Lepisosteus oculatus: one gene and its partners. The protein of the gene in region 2 purifies or fractionates together with the protein of the main gene of each other region. This does not show direct contact. Links are inferred from orthologs where the notes say so. Each region holds a gene or a part of one and is shown on either strand. Other genes may lie near its edges.

Region 1 (7,328 bases), on a different chromosome or scaffold from region 2:
CATACAGCCTGTAATGTTTTTTGTTGGTTACTGGATTCCTTAAAAGGCTGAAAAAATAAGTACGAGGTTAGTTTACAGTTGACAGATAATTCAATTTACAGATGTGAACTACAAAGTTTTGGAAAAAGCAAGCCAAATTCAATTTTATTTCAAATTAATTTGAAATTAAAAGGTTGAAAACTGTGTTTTACGCCAAAAACTTGTATTTACAGGCTGATGCATGTTAAACAGAATGATATACCAATCAATACCTTCTCGATAATATAGTTTGGGTTCAGGATATTGTATCTTTCTGTGGAACTGTGGAGCATTTCCTTACAACAACAAAGAGTTTGACAAGAACAATTTGCAAAATCTCCAAAAACAAATGTTAAGGTACTGACATTTTAATGACTAATGAGAGTTTATACACTGACAGAACTACAGGGAAAAAGCAAACATCCTAACAGAGAAAGTAGAGAAAACTGATTTCTGTGTTTTTTATATTTATCATGTTAATTCCATCTCAATATTCCCTTTAAGGTATGCGGTCTGACTTCTGTTTTCCCAACTGAAAAACGAAAGACAATCACACAGATGTCAATTTATTTTCTATGACCATACTAAAAAGACCCGAATTGTGGCTGGAAAAAAATATATATCCAGAACCCCAGAGCTCCAACAACTCTGGAGTAAAAACAAGAATCTGCTCAAAGGCTCAAGAATCAACCAAAACCAATAGTTAGTGACTGAGTGGAAATGCGGTCTCTATTGCCAAATCATGTACACCACATTCATAGACAAAATCACTTTCAGCTTCCACAGACCACTAATAGCATTCAGCAAATAAATGAAAGATCAATGAATGACGGGCTCTTGACAGGTACTGACAGAAAAGCATTTGTCACATGCAAAAATTCCAGCCTGGGTTAAAAAAATTGGACTCCATGTGTTTCACCGCCTATAACAAAACTAGCATTCCTTCGTGCAATATATTACAGAACATAAATCTTTCTATCAGAAGGTATTTTACTCTTCAGGTTGTAGACTTGTATTACTTGGAACAAGTAGAAATTTATACCACGCTGAAAATAGAAGAAAAGAAACAACTTTTCGGCTGTGGAGCCTTCCTGTATTACTTTACAATTTGCAGTACTGCTGCAGGAAGTAAGGTTTTAATTAAGATGAATGACAAGAGAAGACAGGACCCATATCCTTATTCATTTAGTTCGGCTCCCTGTTAATGATTATAGTTTTACCGTTACACTTAATACCAAACCAAATTTCCCAATGAATTTCAATTTCAGATAAGAGTATGACCACAACAAGAGTTAATTCATTTTAGAGGAAGCCAAAAAATATATATATACCTCAGTAAGGTTAGGCTCTTTACCGATGCAAGAGGATCCAAATCCCCCTAGGGAAAAAATAAACAGATTTAGAAGTTTTTTTTATTTTTAAAAAGGCACACTTGAAAATCCACATTAACACTGGGATGCATGTGAGTCAACACATAACACCACAGCTTAAAACATCTTTCTGCATGTGTAAATAAGAAAGGCCAGACAAAAAAAATAGCTTACCAGCTCCTGGATGTTATTACTTGTGAGGACTAATTCTCTCAAATTTGGAAGAGACTGTTCAAGACCTTCACCGATTCGGCTAGAAAACACAACAAGCACAAGCTTACAAGATTAAACCAACAATGAGGACCATGCAATTAAAGCCAATTAACTCAAATTTACAGGAAAATACTCTTTATGCAGTGTACAATTATTAATGAATAACAGTTCCAGTTATGCTCACCATATCCTGTTGTTATTCATCAACAGCGTTTTTATTCTTTTCAGCAAGGGAAAGCCATCTAGCTTCCTGATTTCATTGTCAGAGAAATCTATAGTGTCAAACTGATCCAATGTGGCTCCCAGGTTTTCCAGGACAGGGATTTTATAACCTGAACACGAGAAATTGGGATGAGAACAACAAACGGGGACAAAACCCACAATACTCTAGTACTGCTACTTAACCACCACTCTTAACCCTTCATGGCCAGTCAGGAAAGTGTCACCAGGAGAATGTCTAGCCTGGTAGGACTGTCAAGTAAAAAAACATCAGACTGCACACTGAAGATGGACACTGACCAGAGTTCATCTCTGTAATCGTACTTATCGGCCACTGAAAACAAGAATCTCAGCCACAATCAAGGCGCACCAATCTGCCAAGGTCTCCTTTCAACGAATGGAAAAAAAACCGTTTTTTTCAGACTCAACTCTAGTTATTTGTCGCTGAATCATTAGCTTATAAATGTATCTCACTCCTCATCCTTGAAAAATGTATAAACTAATAACTGTATGCATCTAAAAAAACAATAGCTGCATATCTCGTATATAACATGATTTGAGACCCTAGCAGCACCCCAGTATTGAACACGGCTACATTTAAAATAGCTGCAGAAACCCGTCAAGGACTTCTGAACTCGCCTTTTATCAATATTGTCGCATAACAATGAAAATTTTAGAAAAGAAAACCTTACTGCAATGCACGTGCACGTTCTACTGTTTTCACACAAAAACAGTAAAATTATTTCATGCCACGTACGAGTTATTACGCTTATTTAAAACGGTACATTTGTGATAAAATAATTCGCAAGAAACGATTAAAAACAAAACGTTCCGCCTTGAAAGGTTAAGTGCTCGACACATCGGATTTTAAATTGCAAGTGATGATATACAAAATCACAAAATATTATTTAACTCGGTTCAATATCTTCCGCGGCCTTTGTTAAATTTACCGCTTTATCCGTCCTGCGGCCCGCAACGTACCTCGAAGGTCCAATTCTCTGTCGCGAACAGGGTTTGTATACTGAGCCGCCTGTTCGATCAACTCTGCCGACAACTTCACCATAGCAACAGATAGATTTTGTTCTTAAAGAAGGTTACAAATAAAATTTAAACAACCACAACCAAAGCTCCCTCAAGAAAATCTTTCCCCTAGCACGCCGCTAACTGGCTCTGCATTTATTCCCAGCATGCAGCAGTAGCCAGCATCGAACCATAGAGATAAACACATTAGAGCGGACTACCCAAACAACCCGGATGTTTCGTATGAGAAATGAGAGGCCATTTTGGTAGGGCTCATATTCCAGGGCCTGAACGCAAACCTGTAGTGGGTAGTAAAAAAAATACTAAATTATAGAGAGTCTACAGAAAATGCAAAACGATATTTTTATCATTTATTGTTTTTAAAAGTATATAAAACATTTATGATAACATTATGTTTATTAAGACATACTGATTAAAATACAGATGCTACTCATCCCTGCACTATATCAGCTTTATTACTGTGCAACTCCCAACTGGTAACCCACTGAAACGATGCAGGTGTGAGCCTGGCCAGTACCTGGATGTGAGACCTTCTGGGAAAGCTAAGGTTGCTGCTGGAAGAGGTGTTAGTGGAGCCAGTATGGGCCGCTCACCCTGCAGTTTGTGTGGGTTCTAATGCCCCAGTAGTGACATGGACAGTGTACTGTATAACAAACGACGCTGTCCTTCGAATGAGACATAAAACCGAGGTCCCGACTCTCTCTGGTCATTAAAAATCCCAGGGCATTTCTAGAAAGCCATAGGGGTGTTACTGTGGTGTCCTGGCCAAATCTCCCTATAGCCTTTATCAATCATGGCCTCCTAATAATCCCCATCTATGATTGACTTCATTACTCTGGTCTCCTCCCCACTGATAGCTGATGTGTGGTGAGTGTTCTGGCGCACTATGGCTGCTGTCGCATCATCCAGGTGGGGCTGCACATTGGTGGTGGTGAAGGGGAGACCCCATTACCTGTAAAGCGCTTTGAGTGGAGTGTCCACAAAAGCTCTATATGAGTTTAATGAATTATTGCACAGCTTTCAGGAGCTGGTGCTGGAGACTGACAATGAATGTGGACCAATATGGAGACACAGAGAGCAGGAGCTGCTTAACAATCATTAATTTATTCATTTACTTTCCTTTTCCTTTTTCATACAGTGACATGTGGCATTTCACAATACAGCTGCATCGACCATATTGAGACAGAGAAGAGCATGAGCTTGGATGAGATCTTTGGATCATTTGGTTACTCAAAGCCAAGCAAGCAAGACTGTCATGCCCGACATCCCTCCCTAGAGGGCGCTCCACTGCTCTCATTATTGTTCGTGTGATTTAGCTCTCCAGGTGTACCCTTTTAGCGTTATTATTTAAAGACCAGCTCCTCCAGTCCTCGGGGCTCATCATTAGGGTAAGATGTCGTGAGGCCCGCCTAGTACCAGGAAACCCTACGTCCGTCTCCTGAGGGCATAGGCCTCATCCCCGACACCTCCCGCTTCCTGAGCCCGGGGTCTGGAGGATCTCGCCCCGTCACCCTTGGACCTCCATGTTTCGTTCGTCTGTGTGCTCCCCTCTCTCGGGGATTTTAACTTTGTCGCGTTCCAGGATGGATTTCCAGTTGATGGACTTTCGGACTGTGCTTTGACCTGCCCTTGGACTCGTTTGGATTTGGATGCCGTTTTGTCTTCCCCGTACACTGTCTCACGGACTGTCACTATTATTTTGTGCACTATTAAACCCCTGTGTGTTCCTTTTTACCACGCCTCCTGTTTTCTCCAGCTCTTACCGCATCGCATAGGGTCTTCTACAATATCTGACACGGATTCCAGTCCGTGTCCGTTACAAAGACGGGCTAAATCGCCTCTGCTCATTTGCAAGCTGTCCTTATGAAGGACTAGAAAGGTTTGAATTCGGTATTCTACTGTAAGTCTATATACACTACAGACATGTAAATGTAAAAGAACAGATTTTTTTGTTTACATAAACATTTGTAGAGAGAGTTTAAAGTGTTTTTATTAAGTTTATACGAACACTTCATACAGTACTTGATTTACATACATTTATTGCTTAGCTCTTTCCGAAAGAATATAGTTCTGCATTTGGCAGTTTGCATAGGCACTTACAGTATTAAAAATTAAGCTCTACACCTCAGCAACATTAGAAATAATGCACTCACAATGCCGATTATACAAGGCATCATCTTATCTATTTCTACCATCTTAATGAGAAAGTCTCTTTAAAAAGATGATTTCATTAATAGCTTACAGACTCGGCATGCAATGCTACTGTGAGACAGACTACCTTCCAAATAAAAAAATAGACACCTGTATTTAAGGCTTATAGGGGAGAAAGATAAATAAAATAACCTCTGGGGCATACATTCCAAAACATTTGCTCATGAAATCCCAGTTGTCTCCAGTGGTCATATTGCATGCTAGGTCTGGTAAGCCTAGTAAGACGATGTCTTTGTCAGCACACTGTGCCAGCTGGCAACAGGGAGACCCCAGCGCTGACTGGGGTCCCTAACCTCATCCTCCACCGCTCCTCCGAGAGGCCCTCCAGGAGGAGCCACAGCCCCCATCTCCTGACAGGGGGTTGTAGTCTGTGGAGGCAAAGACACAATGTAGTTCAGGTAAACGTTAAACCAGTGTTGTCAGACAAGAAGGTTAACATTTTAATCTGCATTTGTTTTTTGCTTCACGAAACTTATTTGTGTGTCCTGCGCAGGTTAATGTGCGTGGAAAAGTGATTCTACCCTTGTGTATGTCAGCACATTAGATGATGCACCACTACTATCACGGAAAACTGCCTTTTCATATTAAACTGCGGCAATAAAACTCATGGCTGAGCCCTTTTCCCAGCCTGGTTTCCTGTGGGTTTATGTACATTAGGATATGCACTTGGAGTCAAGGCCTGATGGGGTTTAGGATGACAGATGACTGTTATGCATACTGTCTTGTAAGAATGGGAAAATGCCAAGCATACACATTTTAACCAACAGTGCTGAGGCCAACAAATACATGAAGAAACTCCAAAATTTCACCTCTGGCTGCAGGATGAGAGAGCAGCTTTGCTCCACTACTTTCATGTTAAAGATATTTGTAGCTAATCACAATACTTATTCCCTGTACATCTTCAACTTATTGGTATGGATTTTATAATATTAGGAGAATCACATAGTGGCAATTTAAGTTCACAGACCAGTTGCTGTTCTGGCATGCTGTCCATTGGGAGTAGAAGTAAAGATCAGTGTTATTATTAGCTCTTCTTACCATTTGACCTTAGAGGCTTCTTGTCTCTTGTCTTCTTGGGAACTGCAGCGAGCTCACTTGTCTCTTGCTATTAAGAAAGCAAAGACACCACATTGATCCCACCAGATGGTTTAACGTGCACCGCACAATTTCAAAATCCTGCCATTGATTTCTTCCATGGGGAAATCATTGAGAAGCTGTGCTTTTCCATTAGCACTCCTGGAATGCAACTGCCGGCAGACTTAATAACATCATCGCTTTTCTTTCACAGTCATCAGTATTCCACAAACAAAACAATAAAGTGGAGGTACTTTTCACTCAACTTTCAGCTGCTCTGGCACATTTGTCTTTTGAAGTATGTAAGTATGTACTGTACCTCTGTGGCTTTTCCATGTTTTTACCTTGTACATCTGTTTTGCCATATCTTCCCATCATTTGGGTCATACTTTACCTTACAAACTATACTGCCCCAGGCACAGCCTTAATTCTGCTTTTGCCAGTTAGATTATCATAAAGGTGTGCATTTCAGTGTTTCTGCATGGGAAGAACAGTGTTTGTGGAAAAGAGGTGAGATCCATGTGCAACATCACATGTTTTGAGACTGCTTTCAGGGTGGATAACACAGTACAGTGTATGGAGCTTATGTGATTTGGTTGATCATTTTAAAATACCAACCGCGCTCTCATGGTACGGTCTACCTGTGCTGCCTTCGCCTTCCCTCGGTAGCTCTTGCCCTCCTGCATGAACTCCCACTTCTCAATCTTCTCCTTCTTCTTCTGCTCTTCAGCTTCTTTATCTCTCTGCTGCTTCTTCTCCGCCTCCTCCATCTGTCAAAGCACAGAGGTCACAGCATCTGCACTGGCTCACACATGCACAGCGCCACTCCCTTTTGTAATGCTGAATCAATGAAGTAATTATGAGACGCTTGTGCCAGTAATGTTTTGTAAAATATTCAAAAGGAAGGAGAAACATAAGACATGTTTGAAGGAAAGTAATGCTTGCAGGAATTTGCAAGAAATTGCAGATGGCTAATAAAGAGATCTTAATCTTATCCACAGTGAATTCCCAAACAAATGTCGTGCTTTCCCTTTCCAGGAAAAGGAACCACCTGTGGGGATATCACCAAAGTGTTGCTTTGGGTGGACTGATTGGGGGTCCTGGCACAGCCATTTCAGTCTCTGCAACAGAGGTCAGAGATCCGGGCTGCACTTCTGAATTTCTGCACACCATCAAAAAGTA
Region 2 (7,104 bases):
CATCCAGGCCAAAGCTACGCAAGGGGGCTCTGCGATCACCCCAATCGTGTCACCCTCCCCCTCAAGGCAGCACCTACTTTTCCCTTTTAAATCTCTGCACACCAAATCCCAGCAATACGTAGCACCCCTCACTACTCATTAAGCCGTTACGCTCTGCTGAGGTCACTAGTATAGTACAGGTACAAGAGTATCGGGGCGCAGGCTTTCAGCGGCCTTGCTGCAGGGCTCCCTGCCAGTCAGAGGTAAAAACTCATTTATAGTTTTTTAACCCAGCCTATAGACTTCACCTTTCATTCAGACTTTTACCATCTGCCCTTTCTCATTTTTCCCCCCACATTACATATTTCTGCTCAGTATTATTTTTTTTCTATTTTACTCTCAAAGGCATCCCAAACACCACTAGCGTCCCAAAATAAATCCTTGGACATTTAAGTTCCAAAATCCGCAAGATGAAATTCTACCTTGCTCAGGCCATGCTAAATGCTGGACTGTTTCTTCACAAAACCCCAAACCAGCATGACACCCAGAACCCATAAATAATTCTAGTAACTCTATTTAGTGCTCATTAAGGGAAATCCACGTAGTGCTGGCAAGCTGTACAGCTCTCTCACCCCCACTGTGCGATGTAGACGGGCTCGATGACCCAGGGGATCTCGTTGACAAAGGAGATGGCCCCAGTGATGTGGTACAACACAGGCACGTCCCGGATCTGCTCCCAGGGCATGGGCATGTTCTCCAGCAGCTTCAGGACAGCATGGGGCATGTACTTCAGGGCGCTGGGCAGCACAGACACGGGACATCAGGGACAAAGCCATTTTATACCTTCCATTACACAAGCAGGCCCCTGTCTAAGGTACCCGAGGTCAATGTGGAATTGAATCCACAAGTAAGAAAAGATTAACAAATGAATAGGATTTCACACCATGCAGAAAATGTCTGATCTTCAAAACCTTTCAAGATCCTCATTACACTTGTGCACATAGTATAGCAATTTTACAATTCCAACACAATATTCCAGTTTATATTCCAAAGGAGTACACACTTCAAGACATACAGATCATTGGGGGGAGGGGGGTAACCTTCAGGGGAATCAGGGTTATGAGCCCCAAAGACAGCACTGCTGGAAAGATGTGCAGCCCCGAGTGTTGCCTTACCCCAGATACACTCTCTTGTCATGGCGGAACTTCCTGTTGGTCATGTCGCCGTGGTCGCGGATGATCTTGCGGACGTGCTCGGGGGGCATGTCCTCCTTCTGGGCGTCCACGAAGCCGAACTTCCTCTTCTCCGCGTAGCGCTTCGCCTGCAGCTGCTGCCATTTCCGAGCTGCGGCAGGGAACACAACGGGGTGTCTTGTCAACCAGCTGCATTTGCACCCCCTTGCGGGACGCCAGGGGCAATATTACTGCTGTTACCAACAGTGCCGTGGGATCTTAAAGAATAACTGATAACTCCTTACACTGCAGTAGAGCTTTACTGGACACGACACTCAAAACGCTTTAAGGGGTAATGGGGATCCCCTCCACCCCCACCAGTGTGCAGCCCCACCTGGATGATGTGACGGCAGCCATAGTGCACCAGTCTGCTCGTCACACACCAGCTCTCAGTGGGGAGGAGACCAGAGTGATGAAGCCAGTTCAGAGATGGGATTAGGAGGCCATGATTGGTAAAGGCCAATGGGAAATTTGGCCAGGACACTGGGGTAACACTGCTACTTTTTCCTAGAAATACCCTGGGATTTTTAATGACCACAGAGAGTTTTAAGTCCCACCCGAAAGAAAGTGCCTTTTTACAGTTTAGTGTCCCCATCACTATACTGGGGCATTAGCACTCACACGGACCACACCCCTACTGGCCCCATTAACACCTCTTCCAGCAGCGACCTTAGCTTTCCCAGGAGGTCTCCCATCCAGGTACTGCCCAGTCCAGTGGGCTGCCAGCTGTGAGTTGCAGGGCAATATGGCTCCTGGCCAATGGAGCAGTACAGATCTCCAGGCACCACAGTGGGGAGGGCTGGCTTGGACATGCTGGGCTTATAGTTAAGAGCACTGGTCCACCACCACCACCACCACTTACAACAGCAGCAGCCCGGTTTTCTCTCAAGGTCTCCAAACCCAACAAAAACAGCACAGATAAACCGCACTCTGCTTGAGAGCTGGCAAGATCGCCCTAACTACTGTCCGACACACGCTGGCTTTTCACGCGTCAGGTTCGAGCGAGAGTGTTTACGTCTGCCGTTCAAGCAGTTGATCCAAACCCTCAACTCAGACACGGCCCTTTTCCGAGCCACACTAACACAGGGTGTCTCCTCCAGTGTCCCCCCTCGCTCACCTTTCTCCTGCAGCTTCTCTTCAGACATGTAGTCCGGCACCTGGCCCGGAGTGGGAATCGTCCCTGGTGCTGCTCGGTACGGAAAAGCAGCAGCAGCCATGGTGACGCCAACCTGAAACCGGGCAAACAACAGCGATGTTAGCTCCTGCTCTCCGTGTGGCGTGTACGCGGCTCGGTGTAACTTCTAAAACGCGCAAAAACGTGTTCACGGGAAATAAACATCGAGCTCCCCCGCCAAAACAGCATATTCTAGATCAACCGAGGCAGTGGCAACACTTACGCCAGGAAGTCGCTGTAATTTGTAAACAGTTCGATCACCGATTGTCTGGATTACAAAATCCATGGGCGATCATATTGCGTACATACCGACATTCGTCTTTATTATGACCCCCACGGGGGAAAAACAAACTACACGAAAAATAAAATCGGATTACACGACAACACGACCAGCTCACAAGTTTGCGCCACAGTCTAGGCCAAATAAAGCGCAGCTCCTGCAACTTTTCCAATCGCTGCAAAACTGCTCTTTCATCACCAGTGTTACCTACCTCAGGTCCACGGCACTTTATTTATATGTAAAATCCGTCCCTATGCAATCTCTAGATCATTCCTTTAAACGATATTTTATTCAAATCCGTCCACAGCTTTCTCCGCTGCTAAACATCCACCAGGCACAATGGCGCAGACTAACGCAGACCGCACGATGCCAAACTACGAAAGTATTCGCGAAGAACACTTACGTTTTTTCCGTAGCTCTTGTGCTGTGTTTGCAATAGAATACCCGATAGCAACCAACGCCAAAAGCGTAAGCGTTAATGCGTGACCTTTTGTACAAAGCCCCGGATGTTTACCCGGAAAATGATTTAGACTACATTTTATTGGCGGGTATAATTATCCAATCAGTGAGGTAGGAGGTGGGCTAGAGAGAATGATAGGAACCATCGAGATTTCAAACAAGGATATACGTCACTATGCAGTTCGTTGAATCGCCATCTTTGTAGAGTGTACGCTTTAGAGCGTATTATTATAGTAAATAAACAGTAAACATTTTCCCAGCATCGTCAATCTCCCTCTCCACCCCAATAATTAAAAGTGTCAATTGTTTTTCCCTACATCTGGAAAAAAAACATTATACAAGAAAAATTAAATTGATTGAAATCATCTGAAGAGGGTGGTGCCCAAATGATAGACATTGATATCATGAATGGTACCCTAACGATAAAATGGTTGCGTTCTTTTATGAATAATAAAGACAGCTTCAGGTTTGCTATTCCTAGGAAAGTAATGGGAAAAATAGGAGGCTTTGACCTCTTGCTGAGATGTGACTTTGACATAAACACGCTCCCAGTCAGACTTTTTGTTTTTCATCAACAAGTACTGTTATATTGGAAATGATCATATAACCATAACTTCACCCCTCATAATGCTGTTATATGGAACAACAGATATATCTGGCAAAAAAAGAGCATATTTTATGAATCCTGGTTAAATAAAGGTATTTGGTCAGTCGTGCATCTATTGGAGAAGGCTAATGGAGAAGTTAATAAATTTTGTGATTTTGTTAAAAATATGACATTTATATGACAATTATAGATGCAATTCCACCAGATGTTCTGACTTTGGTAAAAAAAAAATCCACATTCCATAGTAATATAATTCCCCTACTACCTGAGATCAAAATTGGTACCTACAATATTTTAGAAAAACGTGCAATAATAAATACACCCAGACAATTATGGCAGATAGATTCTACCCTCAAGGAGAAAGTAATTTTTAATTAAAGAGACTATTATTCTCTTATGTCTGCTAGAATCCAGGTGGGGCTGCACACTGGTGGTGGTGGAGGGGATCCCCATTACCTGTAAAGAGCTTTGGGTGGACTGTCCAGAAAAGTGCTATATGAGTGTAAGCAATTATTATTATTATTATTATTATTATTATTATTATTATTATTATTATTATTATTATTATTATTATTATTATAACTGAATACATTAATGTCTCCCCTCGCCACTGAAAACTTAAGACATTCATTTTAAAATAGAACAATTTATATCCCTCTAAGGAATTTCTGAGAAAAAGGTTTAACTTTGATTGTAACACTTGCACCTTTTGTGAATCAGATATTGAAACAACTGAACATATTTTTCCTCATGTCATCAATCAACAGCTTTCTGGCACTCTGTATGTTCTTGGGTAAATAATAGTATATTTGTGCCCATCTAGCCTTTAAGGCTATTGTGCTTGGTGTTTTGAATTCACACAGAGAAGTCTGTATAATGTTAAATGCCATTCTCTTGTTGGCAAAAGTTTACATATGTGCATCTAGAGTTTAAAAAACTTCTATGTGCTTTAAAGAATTTTCTAACTCATTTAAGCTATACTCAAATTCACTGAAAATATTTACAAATATGCTTGATGAGTTGGTTTATAAATATCTTTTACCATATTAATGTATTTCATGTGACCCCTATCGCCACACAACCTCTGTACTATTGGTAAAGTTCTGGGTTTTGTTCTGTTTCATTAATTTGATGCTACCTTTGTTCTGTCATGTTGTGACATCTGTGTGTGTATACCCTTGTTTGTCGTGTTTTCCTTTTGTTGTATATCAAAAAATAAAACAAACAGCACTGGACAGGACCATGGGAAGGGACTGTTCCCTTGAACTCCTGCTGAGGACTGGACACCCGCGGTTTCAGAGCCGGGACAGGGGTAAGGCAGGGACAACAGCAAGAGGCAGGGCTGGGAGAGACTCTTTTAGTGTGCAAATCCAGCCCCAGAATCCACTTGCTCCGATTGAACATGGACAATCAACTTTCCAAGACCTTTTGTAATACGGTAGAGATTGCATGACTTGTAAGTGTATACACATGGTCAGATGTTTATTGTGAAATAAAGTTTGTTGTGTTGGAAAAAAATAAGCAGGAAACATTCCCCACAAAACCAATGGTTTCATGATATTGATTGGTCCGTTCCCTGTGTTTTCCATAAAGGTCTTGTTCCTTATTTGTATTTCAGACAAAGCTAACACTGCAGACAGGGGATGCAACCACATTTAACTTTGTACTAAGAAAATTTTCTTCATGTCTAAAACTACTAACTACTTTCCAAGGTGTTTATTTTTTCAGGCTTTTAAAGTATGAAAAAGAACTGGGGTCTGCAACCCCCCGCAACCTGATTTAAGTGAAGATAATGCAGTACTGCAGTGTATGATAAGCTTTATTAAAAGAAATTCGTAATAACTCAATCACGCAGACCTGCGTATTATATCAATTATACTTACCTACAGTATAGGTATAAATTAATACCTAAAGATAGTTGTTAAAAAATCACTTTAAAACAGGATTAATACGAACACATGTCCCTGCATCTGAGTCTAAAAGTTTTATTGAAAAGTTTGGTCACAGCACATAACAACAATCCAATTTAGTTTTGTTAAAAGAATGACGTGTTACATTAAAAAAAAATATGTTTGCATCTTTAAAAAAAATCAGATTCATTCAAATGACATACAAACGCAAACAGAATGAAAGTACTGTATTTAGTAACAATGATGTTGGGGTGTTCAGAAATTGCATACTCTAGGCCAGGGACTTTGGCTGTTAACTTCTACGTTAATGGGCAGCGTGGGCCTCTCTTACAGAGTGCTGTTTATAATGAGCTTTGCTTCGCTGGCTGGCTCATTCATTGTTAACAGTGTGGTGATTCACACAACACTCAGACCCAGAAGTGAGAACGGCCCACTTGTCACCTGTGCAACCCAGGCCTTAAACAATGCAGTCATCGGGCTCCAGTGCCCCCTGCTGACTGCAGGCACCACTTAAGAAGTCAAACGATTATGCGCTGTGGATTTCTAGTTTAGATAAAGCCCCCCCCCACCCCCACTTTGGAACAGTGTGACCTGACAATGTGTGAGAAAGACTAAGGTACTGTGAGATACCGTAAAGTCACAGTCTGTAACTTCCACACCAGCCTGTCTCTAGCTGTGTGGAAAACTGTGGAGTGTAGTCCTGCAGAGTGAAATCATGGTAAACACCTAAAGAAGTATACTGTAGCAGTGGGACACAAGTCATGGGAAATGATAAGAAAGCTTAACACATGCATGATCAAACTACGTCATTATTGTAAAAATCTGAAGTTTCTGTGGGCATCATACATAAGCAATGAAGAGTAGATGTGGCTAGAGAATAATATACTACAGTCTTCATTGAGGAGCACAGACTTGTGTTATATATGAGCACAGACTTGGGGCTACTTAAATAATGTGTACTCAGGCACAAGGTCTCACTGGTCCAGTAGTCCCACACCAGAGCCTGGCAGCATTCAATATCACTCTTACGTCTCTGCACTGGGTGCCTATAAGGCCATGTACTCAATATCAGATCCTGTTACTGACTTTAAAGGCTCTAAATAATCGTGCTCATACACCTCTGAACACCTTCGTGTTTACACTCCCTCCCGTAGGCTCCGTTCAGTTAAGGCTGGTCTTTTGCTCACTCAGGACTAAATCTCAGACTTTTGGTGCTTCTTCTGTCGCTGTTCACTGTTATAGAGACAAATTCTTTGTGTGTCTTCAAATACAATCACAAAACACACATTTTGGGGTCTTTGACTGAATGCCCCACGGTGTGTCCTGTATGTTATTATTTAATAATTTTTCTTTTACTTTTTTACTCATATCTGGCCTCCCACTGAAGCTCAGCAGGTGTAAGCCTGGTCAGTACCTGGATGGGAGACCTCCTGGGAAAAACTAAAGTTGGAAGAGGTGTTAGT
Region 3 (7,178 bases), on a different chromosome or scaffold from region 2:
CAACATAACCATCACCAACAGAGAGGTCGTGTGACTGTGGTGACTGAGGCAGAGCTGAGACAGGCACAGTACAGAGTCTGGGCAACACAAACACTGGGCAAGCAGCCCAGACAAAAACCAGGCGAGGCAAATCCAGGAGAGAAGCACAAATGCCAAGGCAACAAACACAGCAGAGGTGGAGTGAAAACTGAGGCTGAAGCATGCTCTTGGACTGAGCACTGAGGCCGGCAGAAATCCCGGATCCTGGGAACAGGAGGGAATGGGAATCAGTGAAGTGGCGCGGTAGAGAGCAGTCTGCTGCAACAGAAACATCGCAGCTCAGGGCGCTGGTGCCAGAGAACACAAGACACCTGCCGCCACACAGCGTGCAAAAACTGCATCTTCCAACAGCAGAATCTTACCGTGCCTCACACAAATCACAAGGAACACAACTTCTCTAAACAATTCGTTGACATTATTCAGAAACTAAACTGCTGCGAGGATAAGCGCTTTCCTACACTTCACACTGTTACACCTGGGGGCACAGAGGGAAGACAGGGGGGAGGTCACACCCCCACACTGCTGCAAGTCTTCCTGAGAGCCCCCTGCTTGTAGAGCACGTTGAATTGCTCCTGAGCTTCACTATTTCCTCCAACCTGTTGCCATTTGTAGCTCAGATTTAACCATACGACAGATAAAGTAGTACGTTAAGGCACATTCAACAGAAGACCTGAATAAAAGATTTATTGAAATGCGCAGGCTGCAAAGGAACAAGTAATAGGTTTATCCCACGCTGAAAAGAGAAGAAAGAAAACACATTTCGGCCGTGGAGCCTTCATCAGGTGTCAGAAAAAGACTTTTCACCATGGTATAAACCTATTACTTGTTCCTGCTGGTTCCACCTGTTGTTCCTTTATTGAAATGTGTCGATACGGTTCTGTCCACCTTTAAAAAGCTCAGAGGCCTGAGGAAGAAAATCTGTTTCCATGTCCGAGAGAGAGTTACAGTGGGAATAGAAAGTCACCACCCCCTGTCAGAATTTGTACCTTTTCTGAAAATAAAAACAAATTAAATTAGGCTTGCTTCATTTTTATTTACACACAGTAACCCACATTAGCCAAGTGAAAAGAAAAGTCTAAAACCTTCTGAAAATGAATATCAGAACAGTAAAATACCCTATCTGGATAAGTGAACGTGCATTTGTGAACATGCTCAGGTAGAGCCAGTCCCCTTACAGATCACACCTGTGATCGACTGGCGATCCTGACGAGTTCAGAATAAAAGCAGCCCGCCCACCTGTCCGCGGATTTGGAGCGGCTCCGGGATCTCTTCCGGTCCCGGGAGCGGTGGCGCTTGCGCTCCTTGGCCGGCGAGGCCTTGCGGTCCCGGTCGCGCTCCCGGGAGCGAGATCGGCTGCGTTTCTTCTCCCTGTCCTTCGGCCCCGAGGACTCTCCCTCCTTCTTGTCCGAGGAATCTCCGGCCATCTGTCAGCTGGGTCGGGCTGGGGGCAATGAACACACAGGTGCATCAGGCACTGCGGGCAGCTCAAGGGGTCCCCAACCAGCCCTCAGTGATGGTGGAGGGGACCCCGATCTGAGCCCCCATGGTGGAGAAGGGGTGGGACCCTAGAGGAGATCCTTTCAGGGATGGGCTGCTTCCACCCGTCAGGCCTGTAACTGGCCTCTGCTCTGCAGGCCAGTTAAATCAGAGATCCCAGTGTGTTTCCTACTGGCCGTCGGAAGTGGCTTTCAGGCAGGCTGGGCACAGTCAGAGTTGGGGGAAGAGGGGCGCCTCCAGCTCCCCTGAGTTCGGGATCAGAGGACTCACTCAGTGGGGGGAGCTGACTCCCCCCACCCCCATTAGCCAAAGGAGAACCCGGCCGCAGTCCAGAGCAGGGGAGTCGATCCGCTCCTGCAGAGCCCGCTGTCTTGTGCTGGACAGCAGTGGCCATCACAGGCGCTTAGCCACTGACGAGACACAGGGCTTATAGTGGAAGGGAGGGTGTTGCTGGATAAATCAATGTTGTTGCGGTCCACGACCGGGTGGTCCTCTGTGTTCATGCCTCACACTGAAACAGCCTGCGATTAAAGTCACAGAGCACCAGACGGCCCGCAGACATGTCTGGAGCAGAGGTGTCTAAACCCAGCCGGGACTCTCTGTTACACAGCTGACCGGATTGTTGAACTGCACCAGGCCAAGACCTGTAAGATCATTACAAACAAGAGGAGAGGCACCGCAGCCGCTCAGGAGGTCATTAATCTGAGTTTCCCATCCAGCAGTTTCTTGAAAGAAGCCAGGGTATCGGCTCCAACAGCATGCCCACCCCCACCACTATTTGTGTACAGCAATGCCTCCTGTTCTCGGTTTAAAATGCACTTCCACGTGATTTTCACGTAGCTCTAACCTGGAACTTGCATCTGAAGTTTTATTTATAAATAAATGGCCCTTTAATGAACTGTTCTCAGTTATTAGCTGTAAAAGCCCTCGTGTAACACCTGATTTTTGCCTGTGTAAGAAAACAATAAGTGTCGCTGCTCGAAAAGAAAAAGGAAATGGAGCACACACCCTCCAGGGCCCTCCAGAAAGTCAGACTGATACCGAGTCACAGTTCGGGACTTACAGTAAAAAACTTTACGACACCGTGGATTTAAAAATTAAAAAGCAATAGTGTCAAAGCTCGATGGCGAGTTGTACAAACGCAGACCTGCATGTAAACATGAAACAACGACAGTCTTCGTCTAATTCTGAAGTAAAACACGGCGGATTCACTCAATTCTAATGCGAACACAGCACGTCTGCAAAACAAAATGGAAACACAACGAAACGGGGCTCTACGTCTAAACAGTATTTCTAAAAAATAAATTAGTATATTTTCCATGATTTGGGTTACAGGCTATTAATAGTAACCCAGTAGCCGGAGAAGTTGATAAAACAGATACCCTTACCTTCTCAAATATTCCAATCCTCTCTGATCACCGAACTCACTTCGTTTCTACCAAGCCGCCATGTTCTGCGAAAGCGGAAATGCGCCTGCTTCGAACAATGAATTCTGGGAGCTGTAGTGTTCTAGGCGAGAGTCCTATAGGAAGCTACGGAGTTATGGACAACAATTCCCAGAAGACTCTCTACATGTGTCGTCATCTTACAAGGACATTATTTAAGCCCTCTAATCATATGGGTATCGTACTGTAGTACACAGGTATTATCAATATAATTACAAAGCCAGAACAGTGATAATTAAACCATTGTAATCAGGATCAAATCTATTTATCACGTTCAGCAGTACATTAATTACAGTCTACTGCAAGTAACCTCTAAGTGAATTAGAAGGCAATATACCGTATCTGCAGCTGTATTCCACACATCCATTTTCAATCCACTTCATCACTGTAGAGTTGCAGGGGAGCCGAGGCCCATCCAGCTGGCAGGCAACCGGTGCAAGGTACGACACCAGTCCACCACAGGGCACACACTGACACACACACTCACACCCACACCCACACCAGTCTTCCCAGAAGCCAATTAACCAGCATGTCTTTGGACTGTGGGAGAACATGCAGACTCAACATGGGTTCAGGAATTGAACCCAGGGCCCCAGCGCTGCAAGGCAGCAATGCAAACCGCTGTGCCTGCATGCCAGCCCAGATATGATCATAATAATTCTACACAGGAACAAATCAGGGTTTATTCCATGCTGAGAAGAAAAGAAACTCACATTCAAACTACTATGTTTTCAGTGGCCTTTAACTCCCACTCTAATTTTTTCAATAATAATAATAAACTTTATTTTATATAGCGCCTTTAAAGGTGGCTTCTCAAGGCGCTAAATGTATCACTCAATGTATCATGGAAAAATACACAGTTTTATCGTACTGTTCATATGTTTTTTTATGTGTAAATGGGTTCATGTTGTGTTAAATGTATCGTGTACTGGGTTATGCCTCTCATAAGATAAGATCACTTTATTGGCCATATACAATTTCTTGTATTGGGAATTGGTCTTTTCGCAGACCCCAGCTTGCTCTCCCTGAGACACACAGACACAGACAGGGAGAGAAGCTGGGGGTCAGAGCTGCCTGCAAAGCAAATTTCCCATCTGGGAGAATAAAAGAAGGCGGTGCCTTGAGAATGCCCTGGATCAAAAGGCACGGTATAAAAAAATTATAATTAAAAATAATTGAAAAAATGTTGGAAAAAAATATAATATTGAAGGTTGCAGGATTGGCCACAAGGTGGAGCTTTCGCCATTTAGTTGTTACTGCAGTCAGGTACTGGTAGCATTTCATTAAATATTATTTTGAACAGATAATAAATGAACACTTTTAGACTATTAAATAGAAGTGGTTAATTTATTAAACGTTTGTGTTACCAAAGGATTTACCAAGCCTGTATGAAAACATTATAGCGTTGAAGAGCCAGAAGTATAATAGGTTTTAGATGCAGCTAAGATAAGCAGATCTCCAGAGCCTGATGGTATTCATACTGTTGGACTCAAAGGAATGTTCTGCTCTGACGGGCCAAAAAAACTGACTATTTTTAGTCTTAGACAGAGAGACTATGAGGGGAACTGGGGTATTCAACACCCTTAAAGGCCCTGACAAAGTCAACTCTGCGGTCTTCTTGAGTATCAGTGAAACAGAAGGGTAAGGACACCAGTGACACCTAGACAGCAACTCAGAACGACAGGTGGTTCTTTACACAAAGAATGGAGGGTGTCTGGAACAACCTGCCTGGCCATGTGCTGGAAGTAAGTTCCCTGTGCTCCTTTAAGATGAGAGGAGATCCTCAGGTCAATTACCTACTAGCCAGAAAATGAACCAGATGGGTCTGAAACGCCTTCTGTCATTTGTAACCTTCTTACGATGTTAAGTAGTTAGCAGAACTTTAATGCTGAATGTCACTCGTCTAAACCCAGTGCCTCAGGACCGGAACAGGGTAATATGAGCCGCCTCCTGTCTTTTTAATGGATGAAATCAGAAAATCTCATCAAGAAAAGGCAAAGACATAAAAATAAATTAAAAAAGGCCCATGGCCGTAAATGAGGTGTCTATCTTGAATACCAACAATGTATTAAGCAGGCTTTCCTCACCTCTGTGTGTCTGGATGCTATTCAGATGTGCTAATTGGGGAACAAGGGTTGGTATTAGCAGCAGTGCAGCTGAATGTAATGGAGTCGGCTCTGGGCAGGGAGGGTAGGGGCACAGGAGGCATGAGCTGAATGTTAATGTCATTCAGGAACGAGTAAGTCCGAGAAACATGGATCTGTAACACTACGCAGCTCTTTATTACGCAATTACTCCAGCATGGAAGAACTCCAGCATAGAAACCCTCATGCACAATCCTTCAGTGCACACACACACTGCTGTCATTCACATTCTGAAAACTGGACAAATATACTTCAAAGGTGGCTTGTGGTTTTATTGTCATTATTCACAGGGACTGTCCCGATCCCCCCTTAATTCTCAGAGGAGCAGAGACTCGGGGAGAGACTGGAGGAGAGGAGAAGAGACTGGAGGAGAGACTGGAGGAGAAGAGGAGAGACTGAAGGAGAAACAGTTTGGAGGAGAGGAGGAGAGACTGGAGGAGAGGAGGAGAGACCGAAGGAGAGACAGTTTGGAGGAGAGGAGGAGAGACTAAAGGTGAGGAGGAGAGACTGGAGGAGAGGAGGAGAGAGTTTGGAGGAGAAGAGGAGAGACAGTTTGGAGGAGAGGAGAAGAGACTGGAGGAGAGGAGGAGAGACTGTAGGTGAGGAAGAGAGACTGGAGGAGAGACAGTCTGGAGGAGAAGAGGAGAGACAGTTTGGAGGAGAGGAGACTGGGCACAGGACAAAGGAAGGGACAGGGGTACACATTAAAAACACCCAACTACCACTATAACAGACACAGAAAAAAGACACTCCTTCCACACCCCAGCACATGACCGAGCAGGTAGTATTTGCTCCCCTTTGTGACAGACAGACGAAACTGTCTCCCTCTCTCCCTCCTGTCCCCAGATAACACACTTCCATCGACCCCCCACAAACAGCTAGGTATGAAACAAATGGTAGACACAAGGCCCGTGGTAATTAGATAAACAGGTCACCTCCCAGTTTCTAATTAAATCAGCCCCCCCATCTACCCCTTCCTGATCCCTAGCACCTTTAACAAGGAATCTTAATTAGAACTAATAGCTTCTCTGCAGCATGCTTCTCGCGCTTGCAGCTCTCAGGAGATAGTCCACCCCCCTGGTTCTGTCTATGGGCTCCTCAGGGGCTTGGGCACGTCTCCTGAGTACATGTTAAAGACTGCTGTTCTCATTTAGAGTCTGCGTCCTAAAGAAATCCTTCAATCCTACCAGCTGGGGTATCTCAATCCACACTGAAAAAACTCCAATATGTTCAGAACTCAGCGGCCAGAATCCTGACCAGGTGGCTTGCAAGTGATCACATTACTCCTGTCCTGGAACCCTCGCACTGGCTTCCTGTCAGCTTTCTAGTTGACTTCAAAATCCTCATGCTCACCTATAAGGCTCTACATGGCTTGGCACCTCAGTACCTGTCTGACTTATTATCTGTCTCTTCCTCCACCTAACAACCTTCATTCATCTGTCTATCTGTCTGGTCTCCTGTCTGACCTCCAAGGTCGTGTACACTCGATGGGTGACGTGCCAGGGCCTTCTTTTACCGGCTGCTGAGTTATAGCACAGATAAGGCAGAAACAGCTGAAAAAAAAACCTGTTTCTGTCTGTGTAAAAGACTCAGTTAACCATTTCAAAGCACCAGATTATGGGCTCCTATTCCAGATTTGTATAAGGAAGGTTGTGGGTTCAAATCCCAGGTGAGCATGCTGCTGTTGTACCCGTGACCAAAGTACATCACCAAAATCATTCCAGTAATATATCCAGCTCTGTAAATTGGTGAAAATGTAGGCTGATTTAGCTAAAAGCTTCAGTGAAATGAGTAGTACTGTAGGGTGGCATGGTGGCACAGTGGTCCGCATTGTTGCCTCACGCTGAGCCCCTGAGTTTAATTTCCGGACTTGGGGTGCTGTCTGCGTGGAGTTTATAAGTTTTCGTTGTGTTTGTGCAGGATTCCTTCCACAGTCCAAACACACGCTGGCGGGTTAATTGGCTTCTGGGAAAACAGGCCCTGGTGTGAGTGTGTGTGTCTGTGTCTGTGTGTGCCCTGTCATTGACTGGTGTACCCTGCCTTGTGCCCATTG
Region 4 (7,176 bases), on a different chromosome or scaffold from region 2:
GAACTACTGTGGACCTCGGCCAAATCTCAAATCAGGACCTGATTATACTACTGCAAAGGTGAAAAACAAACTTGAAGTGCTGCATATAGAAGCACGTATCCTTTCTTCAGAAAGATGGACTCTAGTCCGCATCACTGAGCAACATGCTGAAGAGTTACAGGTAAACTGCATTCCCCTGAGGACCTTGTCCGTCAGGGGGGAAACTGCTAACCAACAATCCTGCATTAGACTTACTTTGCCATGATGCAGGTGTCCGCAAAGTGTGACATTTCGGATCAGCTCTGGACTGTCCATCAGATCGGCTAGAAACCTGCAGAAAGGAAGATGAGGCTACTTAAAGGAACTGAAATGTTTAGCCTTCAACGGAGCTACAAGGGGAATTCAGACAGAGTGACTTAAAACTCTCACAAGCAATGACAATGTCAACCCAGAGGACTACTTTAGAAGTGAAACGAGGATTCAGGAACAAGTGAAAAATATGACACTTCGTTACACGAAGTGTGGTGGGAGTCTGGAATCAGCTGCCAGACTGTTGGAGCAGAGGCTAGACTTCCTCAGGGCGATAAGCATTCATGTTCAATCGACTGCCATTACACAAGACCAGAGCCTGTTGACCTGAATGAAACTGGTGTAATCTGAGACTCACTCCATGTCATATACAGTGGAGGGCAGTTCCTGCTCCATCAGCGTGAACTTCTTTGTCCTGACAGGTTTAATGATGGGCTCTAGGGGGAAGGAGAGAAGAGGAAATTCACAGTTCAAGTAACTTGTTCATCAATGCTTTCCTACACACACAAAGTACATCATCTTTATTACTCCATTTCCAGAAATGTTCAAAAAAGAAACTGCATAATTAAATGACAGACATTCTCATTTATGAGTGCTTAACAATAATAAAAAATGTTCAGAGGCAGAAAATCAAAACAGGAGACTAAATTACTAGACATAAAAGTGCTTTACATTAGCCAAATTAATCTAAGGTTATAACATACATCTCTGAATCTCAGACAGGTCGTTCAAGTCACAAAATTACGTTAACCTGGACCCCTCTGTGCACAAATTCACAGGTGTTCTTTCTCCCATTTCTGTAAGAGCTACATTCCAACTCACAGCAAAACCAGATGTAATTCACCTCACACTGCTCTTTCAAGCTGTAGTGCAGAAAAAGGAAATAAAAAACAATGTTGCCGTCTTAAAGCAGGGACTGAAATTATTTTGGTATGTCTGAAAACCTTACAACCTACAAGCGAAATCAGAAATGGTCGAATTTTGGATTCTTTAATAATATGAAGCGATTTCAACAGACGGCAATGGAAACCTGTCAGAAGGGAACGCTTGCTGAGCGAGAGAGGCCCCTGCGAACACAGAGCCGCAGCACCCCAGCCGGACCTGACCTGTGAGCGGCTGTGTGTCCTCCTCCTGGACGATGGTCTCCACCTCGGGCCCGTACACCTCCTCCGCCGTCGGGTAGTACTTCTTGTCCTCGTGCAGCACCACCTCCATCCCGGGGGTCTCCTCGTCGGGGTCGGCCGGCTCCTCGTCGTCGTCCTCGTCGGCCTGAGCGGGCAGACGGACAAGCTGAGCGCAGCGGAGAACCCACGCCGCCGGACACCAGGAAAAAACACAGGGGCGTCCCACGCACTGTGGCTCTGCTCAACCGCCCACACCCCTCCATCTCCTCCGGGCACAGAGCAGAGCAGGAGCAGCAGCAGCAACTAGCCTGTTACCTCCTCCGCATCTCGCTCGTCCCTGTCCAAGTCATCGTCATCATCGGAGTCCAGCTCTGGGCCGATGTAGTTCCCAAACTCGTCATACAGGTCGGTCTCCATGCTGGAACAATCTGTGGGAGGAAAAAATCAATCAAAAGCCCTAAGTGGGCTCAGAAACACACTGCCCTGGTTCTACTTCATAGCCAAATTCACGTGTGGAAAAGTCAACAAAAAACCAAGTCCATTTCTCTGCATTATATCTGCACTTGGAATATAGTTGTTTGCTTAATTCACAATATCATCGCATCAAATCTGATTTATAGCAATAATTACTATTCTTAATCCCAGAACTCTGAACTATTTTCAACGAAACCCCAACCTGCATGGGGTGTTTGAAATCACCCATAAAATTCACAAATGGAACCACTCTCTAAACCGCGGCAATTAAAGCGATGATTTTTTACTCGTTTATTTTTTCGCCAGTTTCCTACGGATTTGGGGTGTCTCAGAACACCAGGGCCGTCTGCAGTTGCTGTAAAGGTCTGGCCCGTGTATTATGATTCTGCTTTCTCTGGAATTTCAGTCACGTCTAACCAAACTGCGTCCCACAACGGTATGAAAGGTACGACAGAATGGGTCATTCCTGCTTTTCAGCTCCAGGTTTACTGAACTGCTGCAAATAAAGCTACAAGTATAAACAACCTTCATCCTAAACACGGACATTCCACCTTCTTTATTTTCTATTACCAGAGCATTTCTTGTCTGACTTCACACCAGAACTCAAGCTTGACTGTAGGGATAGTCAACTATTATCCTTTTATTTTTGCACTTTAACATATAGACCAAGAAAAAAAGTTAAATGTGCAAAAGAATTGAGCCCCCAGTTGAATGTCTGTAAAGCTGATCCTAAACAGGTTTGGTACTGGACGTGGCTAATTTGGGAACCAATTTTAAAAATCTGATGCTACTCGGGAACTATTTCAGTAACTCCATTTGCCTGGACGACGTGTGCATCATTAACAAACTTTAGATGAAAATGCGTTTATTATATGTTCATTCAAATGTCTGAAAACTATCAATCGATAATGATTTGCCGCTTTCCCTCAACATTTGTGTTAAACGCGAGACGTTGACTTGGTCTTACTACAGAATTATTTAAAATAACTGTAAACTCACCTTCGTATACACGTTGTTTAAGACAGTACTGCCTTTATTTTCGCCAATGTTTCTTCAATCCGGTGCGAGTTGCTCTCAATGCGTTTCACTTGCGCCCTCACCCGCTGCGACAAGCAGAGAGGAAGGACCCTGCGCGGAGTAAATTACGTAAGAAGATAATGGCGGCCACTGTACTGCCTGTTCAAAAATACTTTTATACAAGTTTACTGTTATTTAATTTGTCGATTTTTTCATATCCATGAAATTAAAAACATAAAATAATTCTATGTGGAACTTTATATGTCAGAATTCATCCAGTAATAAATACTGTAATTAGATAAAATAGGTGAACCTGTCAAGCAAAATATTAACGGGCAGAAAAAGATTGTAGTATTGCAAAAGAGTGTTAACTTATTAACATCTTATTATTGTAACACTACAGGGTTCACGTAGGCACCCTCACCGCTTCTGCCTCAGGTCGGTCCCCCACCATCAGGGACTCAAACCCGGGCCTCCGGCATCACTCAACAGGGACCCAGCCTGGTGAGCTAAAGAGAGATCTCCCCTCAGCCCAGCAGCTGCGGTCCCTGCTATCCACTGGGAAGGGCGGTGACGTCACCACTCTGGTAAGCCAACTCTCGCAAGCAATGGAGGCCGTATGCGTTACATTATATGAACTATATATGTTGGAGTTTATTAGCTTGTTAACAAAAAAAATACTTTGTTTGGTTGCAGGTTGTTCATGTTCTTTTGGATTTTGTCTACTCAGCCCCTTTAAGGATTAAATAGCGGCTCCCTGATTACTACTGAGAACACGATTAAATGGTCTAAGTGGCAGTTACATCATCACAAAGAAAAAGAGAAAATGCTTAACACCGTTTTCATGTTACTAATGAAAACTTCTAGGGCTTGACTTGGAACAGTGTGAGTAAAATTACAAAGAACAGAAGAGTTATTTTACAGAATTAAGAATTCGAAGAGGCGACGGTGCAGTGGTGAGCAATTCTCCCACTCTGCACTGCAGCCCTGGGTTTAAATTCCTGGGGAGCGATCTGCGTGGTGTTTGTATATTCACCCTTGGTCTGCGTGGGTGAAGAGGCCCGTCTGTGCTCTCCTGCAGTGCATTCATGTCCTCTGGATCACTGACTGGTGGCATCAGCACAGAGTGGTGTAAAAACCATGAGAAGTTAAGGGGTGGGCAGTCCAGCAGGCTGCCATGTTGGTCTGTGTCCAGAGGAGCTCTTGCCCAGGCAAGACGGGAGGAGGAGGAGATACCTCCATGATGACTTCTGTAGCTCACCACTGCGTGTGTTGGTGGTATAGTGGTGAGCAAAGGTTCGATGCCTGGCCACCGCATCGCCAAACGTTTTCAAATGCAATTGAGAGCTGTTGAAAACTGTCATGAACCTAGGAATGCAGCTAGCTCACCACTGCAGGGTCATCCTTCACTGACGACACAATATTCCAGCACCACAACACACATCCTCATGCTGCTCATGGGACAACAGCATTCTCATTACATGAAGGCAGCTGCAACCCACTGAATATCCTCGGAATAAACAGTGAAACCCAACCAGAGGACACATGTGGGAACTATGCGGAATTTTATACCAAGAACAAGAGGCAAAGGATTGTGGGAGTATGAAACTGGCTTCTTTCAAGAAGGACTGATAAATATTTATATTCCTAAACAACAGGGAGTTTCAAAAACCTCATAATTGTTTAATCAGACCCATGAACAAAAGTAAGCCCAGTGAACTATTTCAGAGTAATTCTTCAGAATAAACAGTGAAACTTAAACTGGGTGATTCAAGTGCAAATCACATGAAAAACTGGAAAAGGAGGCATTTATTTACATAAAGGGGCCATGTTGTTGAAGTAAATGCCCTGTTTTTTTTTAAGACATTCCTGAACGAGATCCTTGAATCAATTAGCTACTCACTATCAAATGGGACAGACAAGCATGTGCTTTTTACGGGCTCTGTGAGAGGATAGAGGCAGAATCCCACAGCAACCTAGCAGAAGAGGTTAAAGGGGTCATTAAAGAGGACATCCTAAATGGAGTTTCCTTTCTTGTTAAAGGACAGAGCTGGTTCATGAGAGTTGTGCTGCTGGAATTTGTTTTGGAAAGTCACAGATAGAGACATGTGCTGAGAGAGAACACTGTAAGACATGTTCCTTGGGATTTTTTATTATAACGGTGTTTTTTTTATGTGTCCTTTGTCGGGACTTATTTTTCTTTTTCTTTCTTTTAAAATTAGACAGTGATACCTTATAGCAATACCACATAGATGATACCTCTGTAATATTCCAGTATCAGAATAAAAACTGCAATTATGTGGTCTACATACAGTAGTTTATTCAAACCTTTATTGAACTGTAGCTCTTCTCTGAATCCAAAAACTTGTGTGCTGACGAGGGTCTGAGCACCTTTAAATTGTCACTGTTGGGAGAAGTATTTCTCCTCTGGCGTAGTGGTGGACCAGCGACAGGATTTTGAAGAGGGGTTAGGAGACGTGGAGCAGGAACTGAAACCCTGCAGTTTGGTGTCACCATGGCTGACAGGAGTGGAGCATGGTGGGGAGTAGAGAGATGTTTGGGGAACTAAGTATTGTGAGTGCAGACAGGCTTGTGGGGCCCCGCGGCACTACAAAGGCAGATAGGCTACAATTTAACGTTTTTCGGATTTTCATGGTTTGTGGGTGTGGCGTTTCACCGGGCATCCCTTGCCTGATGACACTTCTACTCATAGCATTAGAAAGGTTTGTGAATGAGTCCCAAGGGGAATAACAACTTGTTTTGTGGCCATATATTTCATGTGAATTGTGAGTTTTCCTGGACAAACTCTGGCTGCCGTCCATCTGAGTCTGGAACAGAGAGCCCTGTGGGGCTGAGTGACAAAAACTGAAACCCTCCCAAACAACAGCTTCAGTCTTAATAAGGAAACTAGAATTAAAATGAAAAAAATCACCACAGCAATAACATAAGATAGGGGTAAACGCTCAATTTGGGGTGATGTCATTAGGTGAGTCCCTCATGGATATGAACTGGGACCACTGCTTTTTCTAATTGATATCAATGACTTGGATTCTGATCTCATTAGCAGGCTGAATTTGTTGGCCAGGAGTATATCTGGTTGCTTGTATCTGAACTGATTCCAGAGCAGCAGTGTGAACAAATGTCTGCAAAATATTTTAAACAAGGTCTTTCTAGTGCATTGTTTAATTTTACTCTAACACACTTTATTTACATTCCCCACTTTTCTCTACATATCCTAACATTTTGTTCCCATTTTTTATTCCATATTGCTTGGAAGATAAAATGACACGTCAACAAAAACAACTAAATGTACTGTAAATGTGCTTTGTCAGCTGTTTGCCCAGTCCTGAATTGATCAAAATCTTTTTGAATTTGAATAAACTGAGTAGTTTAAGCAGACGTGGCTAGAGGTTCTTGGCCATGAAGGACATTTCTAAATTTAAAAATGATTAAGAGATTTTAAAAAAGTTTTTGTTTGTAAGGTCTGCCATTCCGGCTGTGAAATCATCTCTCTCATTTCCTGAAGCACAAGATACATTTCAAAATTTCTCAATCCAGTTCATAAGTGCTCCAAATAAATGACACCAATCATTTTTGAAAACTACTTGGGGGAAGGGGAGTCACTTTATTTTTTTTGTTTACACTTCAATTCTCTCTGTATTCAAATCTTTGAGCTTCCAAAGAAAATAAGAAGCAAAGGCTTTTTCTGGGAGCAAGAATTTACGGGAACACAACCTCTGTTGCAAACTGTGTGGCAACACTAAGCTGACTTCCTGTATGGGAACCTGCTGCCTGGTAACAGTGACTGTGCAAGGAGGATGTTATTTTACAAATTAGCAATTACCACAGCCATGGATTGGAACTGCAGGTGACAGAGAGTTAAGACCACATCTGAGAACGCTGCAGTGGGCGGGACGGAGAGTGGTCAGGATTGCCACTGGCGGAGACTTGCCAATGACAGCAGTCAAGGGTATTGCCAGGTAACTCTCTGCAACATGAGTCTGAAGTACAGGGACACATTTCCTAACACAGCGATTCCCAATCCTGATTCTGGGGGAGCCCTCTGTCTTCCGTTTTCTGGTGCGCTTTCCACCAGTTCTCAGAAATGTTGTTGGGGTTTGTAATTGTATCAACCCTGCGGCACTTTCTGTGGCAGAACTCCCCTCATCTGTTTTTTTCAGCTGAAATGAATGAGCTTTCCTTCAGCTGAAGGAAAACGTGAAACGTGCGCTCTAGGATTGTCATTCCCACCCTTGTCTGCTCATCACCAGAC

The links.
Region 1: the proteins of prpf8 (region 2) and snrpa1 fractionate together in Homo sapiens (co-fractionation; 3 studies listed by BioGRID, with this or other methods). This does not show direct contact. The link is inferred for Lepisosteus oculatus from reciprocal best matches to the Homo sapiens genes PRPF8 and SNRPA1.
Region 3: the proteins of prpf8 (region 2) and ddx23 purify together in Homo sapiens (affinity purification with mass spectrometry; 5 studies listed by BioGRID and IntAct, counting the BioPlex papers as one, with this or other methods). This does not show direct contact. The link is inferred for Lepisosteus oculatus from reciprocal best matches to the Homo sapiens genes PRPF8 and DDX23.
Region 4: the proteins of prpf8 (region 2) and eftud2 purify together in Homo sapiens (affinity purification with mass spectrometry; 9 studies listed by BioGRID and IntAct, with this or other methods). This does not show direct contact. The link is inferred for Lepisosteus oculatus from reciprocal best matches to the Homo sapiens genes PRPF8 and EFTUD2.

The regions. Positions count from the first base shown.
Region 1 is NC_090700.1:49,165,954-49,173,281, forward strand, and holds the start of snrpa1 (U2 small nuclear ribonucleoprotein A'), read right to left. Parts: upstream 3,019-7,328; 5' UTR 2,884-3,018; coding exon 2,802-2,883; intron 1,934-2,801; coding exon 1,786-1,933; intron 1,642-1,785; coding exon 1,563-1,641; intron 1,397-1,562; coding exon 1,350-1,396; intron 48-1,349; coding exon 1-47. Other genes in the region: selenoprotein S-like, read right to left, coding at 5,367-5,440, 6,111-6,177, 6,788-6,916. UniProt on the Homo sapiens protein: Involved in pre-mRNA splicing as component of the spliceosome. Associated with sn-RNP U2, where it contributes to the binding of stem loop IV of U2 snRNA.
Region 2 is NC_090721.1:8,659,632-8,666,735, reverse strand, and holds the start of prpf8 (pre-mRNA-processing-splicing factor 8), read right to left. Parts: upstream 3,025-7,104; 5' UTR 2,877-3,024; intron 2,441-2,876; 5' UTR 2,429-2,440; coding exon 2,329-2,428; intron 1,324-2,328; coding exon 1,155-1,323; intron 777-1,154; coding exon 612-776; intron 1-611. UniProt on the Homo sapiens protein: Plays a role in pre-mRNA splicing as core component of precatalytic, catalytic and postcatalytic spliceosomal complexes, both of the predominant U2-type spliceosome and the minor U12-type spliceosome.
Region 3 is NC_090696.1:21,000,754-21,007,931, reverse strand, and holds the start of ddx23 (probable ATP-dependent RNA helicase DDX23), read right to left. Parts: upstream 3,024-7,178; 5' UTR 2,925-3,023; intron 1,481-2,924; 5' UTR 1,464-1,480; coding exon 1,276-1,463; intron 1-1,275. UniProt on the Homo sapiens protein: Involved in pre-mRNA splicing and its phosphorylated form (by SRPK2) is required for spliceosomal B complex formation.
Region 4 is NC_090723.1:533,211-540,386, reverse strand, and holds the start of eftud2 (116 kDa U5 small nuclear ribonucleoprotein component), read right to left. Parts: upstream 3,009-7,176; 5' UTR 2,886-3,008; intron 1,841-2,885; 5' UTR 1,830-1,840; coding exon 1,728-1,829; intron 1,558-1,727; coding exon 1,395-1,557; intron 726-1,394; coding exon 647-725; intron 311-646; coding exon 235-310; intron 1-234. UniProt on the Homo sapiens protein: Required for pre-mRNA splicing as component of the spliceosome, including pre-catalytic, catalytic and post-catalytic spliceosomal complexes. Component of the U5 snRNP and the U4/U6-U5 tri-snRNP complex, a building block of the spliceosome.